2 linked regions of the Stegostoma tigrinum genome follow. The protein of the gene in region 2 interacts with the protein of the main gene of each other region in a pairwise test. Links are inferred from orthologs where the notes say so. Each region holds a gene or a part of one and is shown on either strand. Other genes may lie near its edges. The genes, in order: zfyve27 and fkbp8.

What was found.
Region 1: the proteins of fkbp8 (region 2) and zfyve27 interact in binary tests that used the Homo sapiens proteins (3 or more experiments, as listed by UniProt). The link is inferred for Stegostoma tigrinum from reciprocal best matches to the Homo sapiens genes FKBP8 and ZFYVE27.

Annotation. Positions count from the first base shown.
Region 1 is NC_081373.1:11,490,476-11,499,105, forward strand, and holds the start of zfyve27 (protrudin), read right to left. Parts: upstream 3,831-8,630; 5' UTR 3,353-3,830; coding exon 3,042-3,352; intron 1-3,041. UniProt on the Homo sapiens protein: Key regulator of RAB11-dependent vesicular trafficking during neurite extension through polarized membrane transport. Promotes axonal elongation and contributes to the establishment of neuronal cell polarity.
Region 2 is NC_081383.1:1,566,004-1,575,492, forward strand, and holds the start of fkbp8 (peptidyl-prolyl cis-trans isomerase FKBP8), read right to left. Parts: upstream 4,236-9,489; 5' UTR 4,128-4,235; exon of another isoform or gene 4,093-4,127; intron 3,435-4,092; 5' UTR 3,422-3,434; coding exon 3,085-3,421; intron 2,679-3,084; coding exon 2,509-2,678; intron 2,178-2,508; coding exon 2,089-2,177; intron 1,423-2,088; coding exon 1,202-1,422; intron 1-1,201. UniProt on the Homo sapiens protein: Constitutively inactive PPiase, which becomes active when bound to calmodulin and calcium. Seems to act as a chaperone for BCL2, targets it to the mitochondria and modulates its phosphorylation state.

The sequences.
Region 1 (8,630 bases), on a different chromosome or scaffold from region 2:
GAAAATTGCAGGCATAAAGTAAAACTCGAATAGACTAGGGATGCTTTCTTAGAACAGAGGAGGCTGGCAGTTGACGTGCTTGAGTTGGATGAAATAATGGAAGACTTGGATAGATTGGGCAGAGAAGACCTCTTTTCTCAAGCACAGAGGTCAATTGCCAGGGGGCACAGGTTTAAGGTGATTGGCAGAAATATTAGACGGGGCTCAAGGAAAAGCTTTGTCACCCAGAGGGTGTTAGTGTCTGCGATTCACTGCCCAGCTGGGTGATTAAGTAAGGAATCCTCAACTCAGTTAAAAGGAAGCAGCATCTGCACCTGAAAAGCTGCAACCTGAAAGGCTACAGACCAGATGCTGGTAACTGGGATTAGAAGAGGTGACTAAAATATTCAGCCAGTGCAGACATAATGGGTAGGTTGAGTCTTTGTGCTAAAATTTTTCTATGGTTCTGGGTCACAGTCAAAACATGTTCGTCAGGGAATTGTAATACAGGATATTCACTAATAATAAGAACTGCAGATGCTGGAGAATCTGAGATAACAAAATGTAGTGCTGGTTGAACGCATCTCAAAACCAGTCCAACCTGTCTCTGCCTCCCTAACCTGTTCTTCCTCTCACCCATCCCTTCCTCCCACCCCAGGCCGCAACTCCATCTCCTACCTACTAACCTGATCCCACCTCCTCGATCTGTCCGTCTTCCCTGGACTGACCTATCCCCTCCCTACCTCCCCACCAAACTCTCCTCTCCCTCCATCTTCGGTCTGGCTCCCCCTCTCTCCCTATTTATTCCAGAACCCTCACCCCATCCCCCTCTCTGATGAAGGGTCTAGGCCCGAAACGTCAGCTTTTGTACTCCTGAGATGCTGCTTGGTCTGCTGTGTTCATCCAGCCTCACATTTTATTATCTTGGATTCTCCAGCATCTGCAGTTCCCATTATCACTCCTAAGATGCTGGGTGGCTTGCTGTGTACATCCAGCTCTAGGCTTTGTTATCACAGAATATTCACTGTTCACTTACACAGGGAGAGAGACATTAATTCAAGATAGCATCCAGATGTCAGCAGTGGCGCATCTCTGCCATGCTTAGCAATCACAAACTGCATGATGGACCGCAAAAAGCCTCTTCTGTAAATTCTAACAACAATATGTAACCATTTACAAGCACCAATTTGTCCATTAGTTATGTTATCATAAATTTCACAACAGAGGGACAATGTGAAAAAGGGCCATATAGACATCACTTGGCCCCTCAAATCTATGTCGCCATTTAACAAGACGGTAACTTATTTTTTATCTCAGCTCCACCTGCCCTTACAATCCCCATACCTTTCACTTTTCAAACATCTATCAAACGGTTCTTGATTATATTCAAAAACCAAACACCCAAAGCAGATAAAGGGAATTCCAAAGATTCACAATCCTTTCATTGAAGGAATTTCTTCTCATCTCAGTGTTAATGGCCTTCTGCAACTCTAACTCATGTTCCAAATGTGATAAGGTAGAATTATTTTCTTTCTACAACTTAATTACCAGCGTGGAAATATTATCACTGAGGCTGTTAATGGGACAAACAGCGCACAAATTGCTTGCACTGTCTCACTTAAATAAATAAAGTTGGCAACAATGATCATATTGATTCATTGGCCACTGTCATTCCACGCAATGTTCCCACTAAGCTGTGTTTGTGTGTGCAGCTGCACTGAAGGTCTGCGCACAATCATGCCAATGCTTTCTGCATGCACTGGCTGGACACAGTAGAGGGAACGCAGTTTGAGGTGTCAGATGACTTATCACTTTCAATATCACTCTTGCTGCTCCCTTGGTCTCTTCTTGTGTGGCAGATCCTTGAATTGAAGATGACTTTCTTCTATTTCAGTGCGATGAGTCCTGGTGACTAAGAGCCCAGTGCTGGATCTGCTGACACTATCAGATGGTATAGGTGGTATCTCAACAGGCGAGTGGATTGGATGCCTGCATCTGTGCACACTCCTTTCATTGTTTGTACTGGCTTCCACCTGCTTCCCTCCAAGTTGATCGAGACTGATGAGACCTTCATGGATATTTCTTCTCCAGTTTGGACAAATCACAGTCAAGGGGTTCTCAAGATTCTGTGAGGACATTGTTTTTTTCAGGGAGGTTTTGACAACATCTTGAAATGTTTCCTGTACCTTGTTGGTAACCACTTGCCATGACAGAGCTCAGAGCAGGCATCATGTCTTATGTCAGGCATGTGCTAGGAATGTTGGCATGAGAGAGGATGCTAATGTTGGATAAGCAGGATTTTAGCCTGGGATGCAAAGAGTGATAAGCAGGCCTCTCACATGTTAGCACATTTGATTGAAACACCTCAAACAGCACTGCCTCGCACCACGCTCTCAGCAGCTAAATCCTCTTAGTACTTCAGATTCAAATCCTCTTACCATTCCAGGGCAAGGACAACTAGCTTCTAAATGGCACCAAACTAATTTAGTCATGCGATTTTGATGTCATGAATGAGCAGACCAGAGCTAGTGGACTACAACAGTGCCATTGTGGCTTGAAGTAATTAACTGGTTATAAAACATTTCCAACACCCTGTCAGCAGCACTGTAGAGTAATCAGCGAAGCCATGGCCCTATTGAATGGCAGAGCAGGCTAAATGGGCCGAGAGTCTTAAATGGTATGTTGGTAAGATACTGCTCAGTCTGAATCATGTAATTACAGTCTTCACATTTACAATTCATAAATGAAACCTTTTGACAGTCATGTATATTTCACAAAGCTAGATAACAGTTTAGCTGTATTTGATAAACTGGTGTCCATTAGCTAACAAAAGTTGCATCAAAATACATCATTGTGCGATGGAAAATACCATCTTAACCAAATAACTCATGTTTATTCTTGCCCCTTTGGCCTATTCCGGTCCCCACAAACACGGGAGAAAACAAAACCTGTACCAATAAGTTTCTGCAAAAATAAAAACCATTGTAAATAGCAAAACAAAACAGACTATCAGCCACCAAGTTAGGGGGCAAACTGACAAAGAGGAACATAAACAAACACACCTGATCAAATACTTCACCATCTCCCAAGCGTCGTAGAGTGGCTCTGCGAAGAACTCTAGCCTCTTGAAAGCCACGACCAGGCTCAGGAGGTCAAAGGTCTGAGGGGGTCTGTGCCTGGTCTTGGGCTCCACCAGGGGGCTGGCTTCCATCTCGGGCAGGGGGCAGCTGGCACTGAGTGGGGGGCTGCTGGCACAGCTGGCAGCAGCAGTGCTGGTGGCGGGTGGGCTGCCAGCAGAGTTCCTCCTTTCCCCCGCAGCCTCTGCCGGGCCAGCAGCCTCCCAGGTAGGGGCAGCGCCCACTGCAGACTGCATAGCTCCCAATGCACGTCTGGAAGATACAAATATTGCACCTGCACCTCTAGTATCTAAACATCTACACTGACACGCAGCTATACAATGAAGCAATGTGGAACACCACAGGTAATAAGGGTTTTAGATGAAATTGAGGTATTGCTGCTGCAGTGGGTTTCCAGCCCGGTCAACACAACGCTGGGCTGGTGACTGCATACAGGGGTCACGGGAGGGTCACGCGGTTGCTAGGAGACCACAGCCGGTGGCGGCCATGATGGTTTCGGACGCTGCCGCTCTCTCCTTCCCTTCGTGCTAATTTATTTATTATATTCCCCACTGCGGGCCGCCGCCTTCTTCTTCCCGCTCCTCCTCCTCTTCCTCCCCCGTGCTTCCTCGGAAGGCGCCGCTCCCGCACCGGACCGCTGCCGTTTGTTTTCGCTTCCTCCGCCCAGTCTCTCTGTCGGTCTCCTCGCTCCGAGCCAACCGTCACCTCACGCCCCGCCCCGCCCCGCCCCCCAACTCCCGAGGCAGGCCGCAGCAATCGAGCTCCTCCCGCATCGATGCAGGCCTGTCCGATGTGTCCGCCGCTGCTGCAGGGGGCGCTCTCACCTCCCCAGGAACCGCCAGCAGCGTAGTAGCGCCCCTGACTCTGAGCCAGGAGGCCAGGCTTCACGTCCCACCTGCCCCGTTGATTAGAAAAATAACCTCAAATGTTCAAATCCAGCTTTGTCTTACCAGGCCATAGCTCTTCTCTCTTTCTAGTAAGAGAGTGAGTGAGAAAGAGCACTGGTGGTGGTTTAACCTCAGGGTCACCATGTCTCCGGTGAGGGGAGAGGTTGAGAAGGTGAGCCGTCAATGGTAACCTTAGCCAGTGCTGCAAATGATCCATTTTGAATGGACATGCCTCTGCGTCTCAAACTGGCCATCCAAGGTAACCAATCCACTTGGTGGGATGCAGGTAGCTTCCTGCTCACTAATGCTGAGCACTATACGCGACATGTTTCTTTTATTCAATCATGAGGCATGGATGTCGCTAGCTAGTTCAACATTTATTGTCCGTTTCTAATTGCCCAGAATGCAGTTGAGAATCAACCACATTGTGGTTGGTCTAGAGTCACGTAAACCAGACTAGGTAAGGTTACTAGTTTCCTCTTTCCTGGATGACAGGTGGGCTATTCTGACAATTGACAATGGTTTGAATTAGAGTCTTCATTCCAGATTTTTATCAATTCAAATTCCACCATCTGCCATGGTGTGATCTGAACCCATGTCCCCGGAATGCTATCTGGTCCTTTGTGTTAGTATTCTAGCGATAATACCACTAGACCGCTGGAAATTCAAAGTTGCTGGCTTGAATTTTGTAGGAAACATCATTTTCCTTAGAGAAAAGAAAGCTATGGGGGTGTCCTGATTGGGGTGCATAAAGTTATGAGAAGCATAGATAGGGGTAAACTTTTCTCTTACTACAGAGGTCAATAACAATGAATAAATAAAAGTCTCACCGTACTTCTGACCATGTAACTGCATGTGCACAAATGGATCATGGTAGCATTTTTAATGGCAATGCCTGATCACCCACTTTGAGAGAACATATGAAATAGGACCAAGAGTAGGCCATCTGGCCCCTTAAGCATGCTCCACCTATTAATAAGATCATGGCTGATCTTCTCATGGGCTCAGCTCCACTTACCCATCGGCTTACCATGGCCCTTAATTCCTTTACTGTTCCAAAAGTTGTGTATCTTTTCCTTGCTTTTGAGCAAACACATAATTGGCATGAGATAATGGGAACTGCAGATGCTGGAGAATTCCAAGATAATAAAATGTGAGGCTGGATGAACACAGCAGGCCAAGCAGCATCTCAAGAGCACGAAGGGTCTAGGCCCGAAACGTCAGCTTTTGTGCTCCTGAGATGCTGCTTGGCCTGCTGTGTTCATCCAGCCTCACATTTTATTATCACATAATTGGCATGATCAGTTCATGTGTCCGATATCTGCATTACTTTGTTTTTATTTGAATGTTTCATTCGCTGCCACTTCTCTTCCAGGTATGTTCACAGACAAACGAACACTACTAGACAATTGCCTCCCCATTGAGAGGTACTATCGAGGGGGCACCACTTTTAGTTGAAAGGACACTGATTATTTTTATCTATTTCATGGTACCTACTAATGAATGTTAGCTGATAATGAAAGAGAGCTGTATGGTGAAGGTGCAGTATCAAAGAAGAAATGGGGGGGGGGGTTCAGCCCCTCCTGACGAACACACTGCTGTACTGTACAAAAGAAATGTGATTACATTTTAAGATATTAAAATATATCTGTCCAGAACAAAAACAATAATTTTTGATTCAGATTTTGTGCATGATACTGCTTTCTTTAATTTTGTCATGTTGAACGTAGCGTTAAAAAATTCTAACTCACAAATCATTTTCATAAATTTTGTTGTGATATTTGTCCAATTTTCTCTCCAAACCTTTAAACTAAACCTCCCCAAACTTTAAAAAGCACTTGGATGAGCTCTTGAAAATTCATAACATTCAAGACTTTGGGCCTTGTGCATGAAGGTGGGACTAGTGTAAATTTAGTATCGCTTTGGCAGTGCAGACTTGATGGACTGAAGGGTCTTTTCTGTACTGTATGGTTTTATGACTCAGTCATTCATGAGGCTACACTTTAATTTTTAAAAATTCAGAAATCTTGCCATTTCTAAAGAAGACTAAATAAGAATGCAGCAGGTAATTAAAAAAGGCAAATGGAATTTTGTCTGCCATTGCTCGAGGGATGGAGTTTAAAAGCAGGGAGGTGATACTGCAGCTGTATAGGGTCATAGTGAGGCCACACCTGGAATACTGTGTGCAGTTTTGGTCTCCTTACTTGTTAAGAGATATACTAGCACTGGATGGGGTGCAGAGGAGATTCACTCGGTCGATTTCAGAGTTGAGAGGGTTGGATTATGAGGAGAGACTGAGTAGGCTGGGATTATACTCATTGGAATTCAGAAGAATGAGGGGAGTCTTATATAACATACAAGATTATGATGGGAATAGATGAAGTGGAGGCAGGGAGGTTGTTTCCACTAGCAGGTGAAACTAGGACTAGAGGACATCACCTCAAAATAAAGGGAAGCAGATGTAGGACTAAGGTCAGGAGGAACTTCTTCACCCAATGGGTTGTGAATCTGTGGAATTCCCAGCCCAGTGAAGTGGTGGAAGCTACCTCGCTGAATGTGTTTAAGGCAAGGCTTTGAACAGTAAAGGAATTAAGGGTTATAGTGAGTAGGCGGTTAAGTGGAGCTGAGTCTCAAAAAGATCAGCCATGATCTTGTTAAATGGCGGGGTAGGCTCAAAGGGCTGGATGGCTTACTCCTGCTCCTAGTTCTTATGTTCTTATGATTAGCTAAATCAAATAGTTTCAATGAATAATTAGAGTGGATGAGGGAATCATTACATTATTACAATAATTGTAACTTAATTAAACATAGGAGTTGGGAAGAACATAAGAAATAAGAACAGGTGTTGATTATACAACCCCTGCAGCTTATTCTCGTATTCAATAGAATTGAGGCTGATCATCTGTCTCCATCCCCCTTTCTTACCTGATTCCCGTATTTCTTGATTCCTCAGCAAGTAGACGTTTAACAGTCTCCTCATGAATATACTCACCTTCAGCTCTTGTCAAGCCCATGAGTAAAGACATTTAACCTCATCTCAGTCCAACGTGTCCAGTCAATTAAAATGAAGCTGTGGGTGAGATTTTCACAGAGCCAGAAAGCTCTGCAGACATTAAAATGAGTTGGGCTCAGATGCAGAAGTTGTGGCCCCATTTCTAACATCCAACTTTTGTTAATTGAGGAAAAAGGATGAGGCAAGAATCATCAGGACAGAAACCCAAGCACATCAGGCCCATTTTAACATCGTACTGAGTTCAAGCAACTATTATTTTGCTATTTCAATAGCCTTGACCTGCAGTATGAGATTAGACAATCAAGAATAGATGTAAATCATTTTGAAGGGCTTTAAAGGTTTGTTTAACTTTTATAACCTGAAGTTGTTTAAAATCTCCAGCTCTTTACGTTGTAAAACTAAACTGCTTGCAGCTGTCATTGCTCATTTAAAAAAAACTCTGTTGGACTATTTTGATTGAAAGATCTTGGTATAGTATCTATTAAAATAGTTATAATTTCATTACTTATTGACTTTTCCCTAAGGGCAAATCATTATGAACGTTTGACCAAAAGTCAAAGACTACAGTTATAAGATATGTATAAATTTGCAATTTGAGTTACAACTTAAAGAGGCTATTAAAGGATTGGTCTTACAACCAGATAATGCCACATGGCAATAGCCGATCTTTGTTCAAGTCAAGTTCCTGTTCTGTTCCTGCTATTTTGTGTTTGTTGAATTATGATTTAATAAGTTTGTTTGGTGGTTCATGCCTAAAGCAATTGTTATTCCATCACCTGCCAATTTTAAGGAAGGTCGCTGTATGCATAAAAAAAACAGTTCAGATTATAAGAGACTAATCACTTGCAGTTTAAACTCTTGAATGTTTTCATGAATGGATTTTTTCCACTGTCAATATCTGTAGATAAGGTGGTTAAGAAAGCAGTTGAAGCATAAACGTGACCAGGAAGTTTATGATTAAACTGTATAAAATGCTGGTTAGATCACAACTTCCATACTGCAGTTCTGGTCAACACCTTATTGAAAGATTGTGATTGCACTAGAGAGGGTGCAGAAGAGATTTACAGGTTGCTGCATGGACTGGATGGTCTGAGACACGAGGAAGAATTGAATCAGCTGGGATTGTTTTTCTTCAAGAGGAGGAGGTTGGAAAGAGACCTGCTAGGGATGTATAATATTATGTGTGAGAACTATGGTAGGGGGCATGAATTGACATATATGAAGGGCCATTGAAGGGACTGTACTGGGGTTGAGGATTCAAGGGTTTAACATCTAAAAGAGTTAGGGTCATGTCCAAAAACCAATGTATTGTGTGAAAACTTCAGGACCTGAAGCAACCTTGCAGTGATGTGCCTCACAAACCTTATTGAGTTCTCTGAGAAGGTAACCAAACAGGTAGATGAGAGTAGAGAGAGAGAGATAATGGGAACTGCAGATGCTGGAGAATTCCAAGATAATAAAATGTGAGGCTGGATGAACACAGCAGGCCAAGCAGCATCTCAGGAGCACAAAAGCTGACGTTTCGGGCCTAGACCCTTCATCAGAGAGGGGGATGGGGAGAGGGAACTGGAATAAATAGGGAGAGAGGGGGAGGGGTAACGAAGATGGAGAGAA
Region 2 (9,489 bases):
CAGAGAAAGTTTAGAGACTAATACCTGGAATGAGTGGATTGCTTGATGAGGAAAAGGCAACAGGCTGGGCTTGCATCCTATAGAGTTTTGAAGAGTCAGAGGTGATTTAATTGCAACATTTTAGATCCTGAAGGGATTTAACTGCATGGATGTGGAAATGCTGCTAGAACTAGGGGTCATAGTTTAAAAATAAGGGGCTGCCTATTTAAGACAGAAATGAGGAAACATTTTCCCTCAGAGGATTTAAAATCTTTGGAAATCCCTTCCTCAGGAGGCAATGGATACAGAATCTTTAAATATTTTTAAGGCAGAGGTGGATAGCTTCTTGATTTCGAAGGGGATGAAAGATTTTCAGGGATATGTAGACATGTAGAGTTGAGGTTAAAATCAGATCAGCCGCGATTTTATTGAATGGTACAGCAAACTCAAAAGGCTGAATGGCCTACTAATGTTCCATACTTGTATGTTGAATTTTAGGACAAGATTCAGGAAGCCCTATAAACCAATCATTAAAGTGAAGTAAGTCAGATACAAGAAATGCCCAAAGATTAATGCAATGTGTGCCTTGATAACTGGTGGCCCAGAACAGAGATGCAGGAAGAAGCTGCAGCTCTCGAAATGAGACCACATCTGGAATAACTGTGTCCACTCCAGGCAGAGTGGTACTGTTCTGAATTCGGGGTTAAAAGATCCAGATTCAAATCCCACCTGCTCCTGACACAAGTCAAAACATCTAGGCAAGCTGGTTAAAAACATCTACACTTCAGAACCAGATGGGCCAGATTTACTAGAATGCTATGTGCCAAGGCATGAACCTAAATCAAATTCCTTGGGACATTTAAGCTACGTAGGCGATTAAAGAGAGAATTTTGGCATTTTGAAAAGAACTGATCAGTTGCTAGACAGAGACAGAGTGAGAGTTGCCTCTCCAGGGCAGGGGCAGGTTAGGCAACGGGCCTTACAATCCAAGCTAGGCCTTTTAGAAGAGGGACTGCAACAAAGGACCAGGTCAGATCATAACTTTATATCATATACTGACAGGCTGTGACTGGACAGGAATATCAAGGTACAGGGAGCCAGGAAGAAGCTAAATGATAGAGAGTGAATGGCTTCATCCTGCACCCCCTATCGTCAGATTAGTTACATCTTTCATTTCAGTTCCATTCAAACAACACCCGTAGCAGTGCGGTGCTGAATTTACCTTTGGAGCTGGAGTTGATGATATTGAGAGCAATGTCATAGGAGCCGATTGCAAAGACATATTCATTGCGCAAGAAATACGTATTTCCTCGCTCTCGTTTCTTATTAGCCAGCAGCAGTCTCTCCTTCCCCGACAACAGCTCCAGATCCGGGCTGTCACCCATAGAGAGAAGCTGAACCTCCAAATGGACAGTGGCATTTGAGGGCACACTGGGCTCAGAGCTGAGAGACGAGAGACAGCATTAATGACAACTCCTACTATACCAACCAGTTCCACATACCTTATGCTGCACAGAATATTTACTTTAAAAAACAGATGAAGCCCCAGGGACACAGCATTGATAAAGGTTCCCACTGGACCTCAGAACAATCCTGCTCAAAACAACAGGCTGAAATTCTGCTAACTGCAAGATTCCAAAATCCAGGAGGTCCATCACAAAAAAACTTGTGGAAAAATATCCAACACAAGTCAGCCAAAGATGGACAGAAATCCAAGAGAGAGATGACAGAGCAACTCAGCATTTTACAAGGAGCTTTACTCTGTATCTAGCCCATGCTGTCCCTGCCTTGGGAGTGTTTGATGGGGACAGCGTTAAAAGGACTTCACTTTCAGTTTAAAAGAGTAGAGTTGCCTCTCATCCTTTTAAACTCCAATGAACACCAGTCCAACCTGTTCACACATTCCTCACAAACCAATCCCAGGAATTAGTTTAGCTAACCCTCTGAACTGTTCTAAGCTTGTCCTGTCCATATCCGAGGAGTCTTAATGAAACATGGACTGAAGTGCTGAAGGATTGATACAGAGAAACAGCCTGATAATGTCTGTAGTAAGGATTGGGGTTTGCTCATCCAGACGCTTGGGAATTACAAGGAGGTCTCTGCACCCACCTGCCCAGACTGCCATAAGCGTATTTTGCATCAGAGACAATCAATGCAACTTCATTCTGGTCCATCAACTGAACGCAGAGATCTAACGCCTGGATAAAAAGAGAGAACGAGACCCTGAAACAGTACTCTCATAGAACCTGCCTCTGTAAAGACAAAAGAACCAGAAATCTAAACAGAAAGTGCTGCAGGAACTCAGCAGCTCCAGCAGTATCTGTGAGGGTGGAGGAGGAGGATGGAGTAGGTGGCAAGGGGGGGGGTGGGGGGGGGGGGGGGCGCGAGGTGAATGTTAAGTCAAGTATGAATGTTTTTTGCAAGTTCAGAAGAGCCACATCCAGCACTTTCAGTTTGGATTTCAGATTTCCACCATTTGCAGTGGTTTGTTTCTATTGGAAAGGAATGAGAAACTCGCCCAAAACCAACCTGGATAACATCACCGTCCCCCACGGTGAAACAAAGATTAGGATCTTCCTCCACCTCAGTCCCATCCTCCAACGTCATCTTCAGTCTCACTGTTACATTTTGACCTTTCTGTGGCCTCGGCTCCTGACTCTGGCCAGCTACTAGAACTTTCTTCTTCAGCAGCCCGTTCCCTGCAGGAGTGAGCAAGGAAATTAAGCGCTGAGAATTGGATTAGAGGAGGATTCAGTGACGATGCCATCACAAGTTATATGTTTGTGGGTTTTGCTGGTCGAGCCAGCATTTATTTTCCAGCCCAAATTGCCCAGAAGATAGTTAAGAACCTACAGCAACACTGTGGGTTTGGAGTCACACACAGGTTCGACGAGGGAAGGACAACAGATGTCCTCCCCTAGACAGACAACAAGGCAGATGGATTAATGTCGACTAGTGGCATGATCAGCCATTACGGCGCTCCCCCTGCGCTAGCCCTCCGAGAGCGCGGCGCTCCCCCTGCGCTGGCCCTCCGACAGTACTGAATAAACAACCAACATGTGGAAAGTACGTGACAGGTTAGTGTGTGAGACAGCTGAACCATACCCAGGACCTGAAGCCACTCATCATCAGTTTCCTGTGAACTGTCCTGATTCCCTGCCCTGCTTCCAGCCTCTTTGTTCATCACGGTGATGCTGGACTCCGGGTTTTCCTCAGCTGCAACCTGGACCTCAGGAAGTCCCAAGTCTTCCAAAGAAGGGAGCTCACTTGTGTCCTCTTCATCAGTGTCATCATTGCTCATCTCAACATCCTCCCCACTGTCAAGGAGAAAGGCTTTTGTATGGACTGGGAGCTTCCCTGAGGTGTGAGCGACATCATGCTTACTCCCCAGAGTTATTGCATCTCCGGCTGCTCCCGCAGAACCCCGGGCCACCTCCTCCATGTGAGCTCAGAAACTGCAAGGGAGGAAAAGTAAGAAAGTAAATGAACTGGCACAAGAGTCTCCAAATTCCCTATCAAGCAGCTCCCACTGTCCCAGTTCCTCAGTGGGACAGACACTGAGGGGATCAAAGTAAATGGTGATGCCCCCACAGTTGAACAGCATTGCTGGTTTGCTAATTAACATTTGGTGCTTTAGGAGCCAGCTATTAGAGCCCCAGCAGATATTATTTCCTTCCAGAGAGAAGGAACAGTCAGAGAGAGAGAGAGAAAGTGTGTGTGTGTGTCTGGTCCCCGAAGGCAGAGCTGATCGTCTACAGCAGGCAGCTGAGATCACTGCAGCAGCAAAGGCCCGAGCTTCCATTAATCCAGGGACAGAAAGGGAATTAAACAGACTCCATGCAACAAAAGTGCCCTCAGACTGGGGGACACCACAGGCCTTAGACCCCGAGGGTATCTGACCGGTTTCAATAGCCCCCAGAGGTATCTGACCGGTTTCTACGGCCCCCGGAGAGTATCTGGCCGGTTTCAATAGCCCCCGGAAGTATCTGACCGGTTTCTACGGCCCCCAGAGAGTATCTGACCGGTTTCAATAGCCCCCGGAGGTATCCGACCGGTTTCTACGACCCCCGGAAGTATCTGACTGGTTTCTACGGCCCCCGGAGGGTATCTTACCGGTTTCTATGCCCCCTGCTCACTCTGTCCCTCACCTTGTCTCTAACTTCCGCTCTTCAAGCTCGGGCTCCGCCCGCGGGATCTCATTGGACAAACACGCGGCGCCCTCTCCACTGATTGGTTTCTGCGGAATGTCTGTCAAATCAACTTCCGGTTCCTCCACAGTTTGGTACCAAAGCGATCTCTTAAAGTAGTATCAGAGATAATGGGAACTGCAGATGCTGGAGATTCCAAGATAATAAAATGTGAGGCTGGATGAACACAGCAGGCCAAGCAGCATCTCAGGAGCACAAAAGCTGACGTTTCGGGCCTAGACCCTTCATCAGAGAGGGGGATGGGGGGAGGGAACTGGAATAAATAGGGAGAGAGGGGGAGGCGGACCGAAGATGGAGAGTAAAGAAGATAGGTGGAGAAGGTGTAGGTGGGGAGGTAGGGAGGGGATAGGTCAGTCCAGGGAAGACGGACAGGTCAAGGAGGTGGAATGAGGTTAGTAGGTAGCTGGGGGTGCGGCTTGGGGTGGGAGGAAGGGATGGGTGAGAGGAAGAACAGGTTAGGGAGGCAGAGACAGGTTGGACTGGTTTTGGGATGCAGTGGGTGGGGGGGAAGAGCTGGGCTGGTTGTGTGGTGCAGTGGGGGGAGGGGATGAACTGGGCTGGTTTAGGGATGCAGTGGGGGAAGGGGAGATTTTGAAACTGGTGAAGTCCACATTGATCCCATATGGCTGCAGGGTTCCCAGGCGGAATATGAGTTGCTGTTCCTGCAACCTTCGGGTGGCATCATTGTGGCACTGCAGGAGGCCCATGACGGACATGTCATCTAAAGAATGGGAGGGGGAGTGGAAATGGTTTGCGACTGGGAGGTGCAGTTGTTTTTTGCGAACTGAGCGGAGGTGTTCTGCAGAGCGGTCCCCAAGCCTCCGCTTGGTTTCCCCAATGTAGAGGAAGCCACACCGGGTACAGTGGATGCAGTATACCACATTGGCAGATGTGCAGGTGAACCTCTGCTTAATGTGGAATGTCATCTTGGGGCCTGGGATGGGGGTGAGGGAGGAGGTGTGGGGACAAGTGTAGCATTTCCTGCGTTTGCAGGGGAAGGTGCCGGGTGTGGTGGGGTTGGAGGGCAGTGTGGAGCGAACAAGGGAGTCACGGAGAGAGTGGTCTCTCCGGAAAGCAGACAGGGGTGGGGATGGAAAAATGTCTTGGGTGGTGGGGTCGGATTGTAGATGTTGGAAGTGTCGGAGGATGATGCGTTGTATCCGGAGGTTGGTGGGGTGGTGTGTGAGAACGAGCGGGATCCTCTTTTGGCGGTTGTGGCGGGGGCAGTGTGTGAGGGATGTGTTGCGGGAAATACGGGAGACGCGGTCAAGGGCGCTCTCGATAACTGTGGGGGGAAAGTTGCGGTCCTTGAAGAACTTGGACATCTGGGATGTGCGGGAGTGGAATGTTTTGTCGTGGGAGCAGATGCGGCGGAGGAATTGGGAATAAGGGATGGAATTTTTGTAGGACGGTGGGTGGGAGGAGGTGTATTCTAGGTAGCTGTGGGAGTCGGTGGGCTTGAAATGGACATCAGTTACAAGCTGGTTGCCTGAGATGGAGACTGAGAGGTCCAGGAAGGTGAGGGATGTGCTGGAGATGGCCCAGGTGAACTGAAGGTTGGGGTGGAAGGTGTTGGTGAAGTGGATGAACTGTTCGAGCTCCTCTGGGGAGCAAGAGGCGGCGCCGATACAGTCATCAATGTACCGGAGGAAGAGGTGGGGTTTGGGGCCTGTGTAGGTGCGGAAGAGGGACTGTTCCACGTAACCTACAAAGAGGCAGGCATAGCTGGGGCCCATGCAGGTGCCCGTGGCCACCCCCTTAGTCTGTAGGAAGTGGGAGGAGTCAAAATGCAACCTCCCAGCACCCAGGCAGTAATCCACCCAGTGCCCCAGCACCCACCCAGTAACCCACTCAGAGACCCAGAACCCCTCCCAGAGACCCAACACCCACCCATAAACACAATACTCACCGAGAGACCCATCACCCATACTGCACACACCCAGTAACCCACCCAGTTACCCAGCACCCACCCAGACAGCCAGCACCCATCCAGTGAGCTAGCACAGAATTCAATGTGCACCCACCCAGAGACACAGCACTCACGCTGAGACTCAATACACATCAAATCAATAAAACCATTCAAAGCCAGCAGCACATTATAGAACGGGGCCCATATGTCCAATCTATCCATCTAAATATGCATCACCACCATGAACTTGCAGCACCTGTCCCCACCCACCCAGTTACCACAACCTCTGCTGCTTTCTGGTCGCTGGTACATTGTTTCCGCCTGCATTGTGACAAGCTGAACTCATCCATTGCAGCAGAGGTCCTGTGTATCTGAGTGTTGTGGGGCTACCACTGAGACGTGTCCTGACACACAGGCACCGCAACATTAAGCCACGCACAAGGGGAAGGTTAAATAGGTGAATGAGTGAATGATGGTGAGGGATAAATGTAGTTTGATGTTGTTTGGTTTCTTGTGTAGAGAGTAAAGCTTAACAAATCCAGGAAGGACTGATGATTTTACAAATTTGCTTGCAAATTCCATGCTGTTCTGAATTTATTTCGGACTGTTTCTTGTCTACAGCCACCTTCGACTCTGTGCCTCAAACCCTTTCCCTTCTCATGCCAGGATCTCCTCAGTTGTGAATCTTTGGAAATCCCTTCCCCGGAGACTGCTCCATTTTGGGCCGTAGTTGAGGCTGGGATGGAGGGATTATCAGTTCCTCTGGAATTAAAGAAAGAAGTAAGTGGGAGGGAAGGGGCAGCTGATAAAGATCAGTTACAACTGTATTGGTTCCAGGAGCTGGCTTGAGGTGCCATATATACAACTAACTCCTGTTCTTATTTCCCATTCTTCTGGATGATTCATCCTTCTCATGGTGTCTTCCTTTCTTGACAGAATATCTGGGAAACAGGAGCAGGAGTAGGCCATCCTGTCCCTTGAGCTTGGTCTGCCATTTCCCAAGATCATGGCTGATCATCTGTCTTAATATCATTTTCCCGCATGATCTTCATAACCCTTGATGTCACAAGTAACCAGAAATGTATCTTGAACATATCCAATGTTTGAGTTTCCACAACCTCTGGGATAGAGATTTTCAATGATTAATGCCCATTGGAGTGAAAAAAATTCCTCCTTGTCTCAGTTCTAAATGTCTTGTCCGTCATGCTATGTTCCCTGTCTCTAACCTCACCAGCCAAGGCATGGCAGGCAACACACCATTGTTCTGCCATTCTCACATTCCAATGACTTAAAAGGAACTATCAACACCTTTGCAACACCAGCACCCTACACCCACTAACCCCAATGCCCCTTCCCCATGCTACTGCATCAATGCTGTCCCCTCCACACCACTTCAGCTCTGATGAAGAGTCATCTAGACTCGAAACATTAGCTTGCCTGTCCCCTTGGATGGTGTTTGACTTGCTGTGATCTCCAGTATTTTATTGTTTCCAACCATGGCAAACATCCTGAGATACTGTCACAGCTTGTAGGATATTATAGTAAGAATGTTGAAAGTTTCAATGAGTTCATATCCTATTCTTTGAAACTCTGGAGAATATAGGCCCCATTAGCCAAATTTCTCTGCAGAAGACAGTCTTGTCATCTTGGAAACAAGTCTGGTGAATCTTTGTCGAACATCCTCTACACTAAGTGTGAAGAAATTTCATGTAAATGATTATTTTTATTTGGAAACCTAGCATTTGAAGTAGATAGAATCATCTATAGTTTTAATTTTGAGTTACATGTTTACATTATGTCTGTTAAAAAGGGAACAACTTTGATTTGGTTTCATTTCAGATTTGGCTTCTATGTTGCACCAAGGTGTCTGAAGTTTGTTGATATGCATCAAAAGTAGTTCTTTAAAGCACTTGGGGTGAATAGTTCACTGCATTAGAAACAAGGGTTAAAAAAAGTTTTGAAAAAAAGTAGAACTATTGAACACTTGCCTAGTGTCACAACTCACTGGAGCAGCAGTTCCCGTACTCCCAGAGTCATCACAAATGTGAAAAGATTTTGTCAAGCCAGCCAATGTCCACAAGTTACCTGCTGATGAACTCAGGCTTAAAGAAAACACTCATCAGGTTTCTGTGTCTACAAAAAAATAACTGTTTATTTCATGTAAATGATCTTTAAACAATGGCATTTGGGAAATATGAATTACTAACTTATCCTTCCACAACTTAAACTCTACCATTTTCAAATTTTCTTCCCTCTCACAAACAAACAGATTCATGGAGACTGACAAGTCATGGATATTAAGGGTGGAGAAACAGGGGAAGAAAGGAAAACACAGGATTTGTTGAGTTGTTTTCTCTCTCTTCCAATTATTTATGTTCTTTGTCACTGACACAAGATTGTTTACACACTGATAATGGGAACTGCAGATGCTGGAGAATCCAAGATAACAAAGTGTGAAGCTGGATGAACACCGCAGGCCAAGCAGCACCTCAGGAGCTCTCTAATGAAGGGTCTAGGCCCGAAACGTCAGCTTTTGTGCTCCTGAGATGCTGCTTGGCCTGCTGTGTTCATCCAGCTCCACACTTTGTTATCATTGTTTACACACTGATGCTCTCTTTCATTCATTGGTTGAAACTATACACACCACTTCTTTGAGAATTATGAAATATCTCTAACTGTCAGTTATAGTTTATCTATTATTTTGCCTTTCAACGATTTCTTCCATTCAACTTTAGCCAGTCTGTTAGTCCCTTTGTAATTGTTCTTAATTACATTTAAAGCACTAATTTCAGACCAAAGATTCTCACTCTCTAGCAATATGAAATTCTTTCACACTTTGACTGCGACAGAATCCTTTATGATGTGGTAACTAATTAGCCCTGCCTCATTCCACATTATTAGGCCCAAAATAGTTGATTCCCTAGTTGACTTTTAAAACATATGTTTCTAAAAATGTTTTCTTAAATATAATCTATGAATATGTCCCTGATGTACCTTTGCCAGCTTGATTTGGCCAATCTACATGAAGACTAGCATTGCCCAGAGTTATTGCTGTTCTTTTCTGACAAAACTTCATTAATTTCCTTTTTATCATTCATTCAGGGATGTGGCATCAGTGGCTGGGCCAGCACTTATCCATCCCTATTGCCCTTGTGAAGGTGATGGTGAGCTGCCTTCTTCAACTACAGACCACGTACTGAAGGTAGACCTACAATGCCATTTGGGATGGAATTCCAGGATTTTGACACAGTGAAGGAACAGCAGTATATTTCCAAGTCAGCATGGAGAGTGGTTTGGAGGGGAACTTGCAGGGGGTGGTGTTCCCATACATCTGCTGCCCTTGTCCTTCCAGACAGAAGATATTTCAAGTTTGTAAGGTGAATTTCTGCAGTG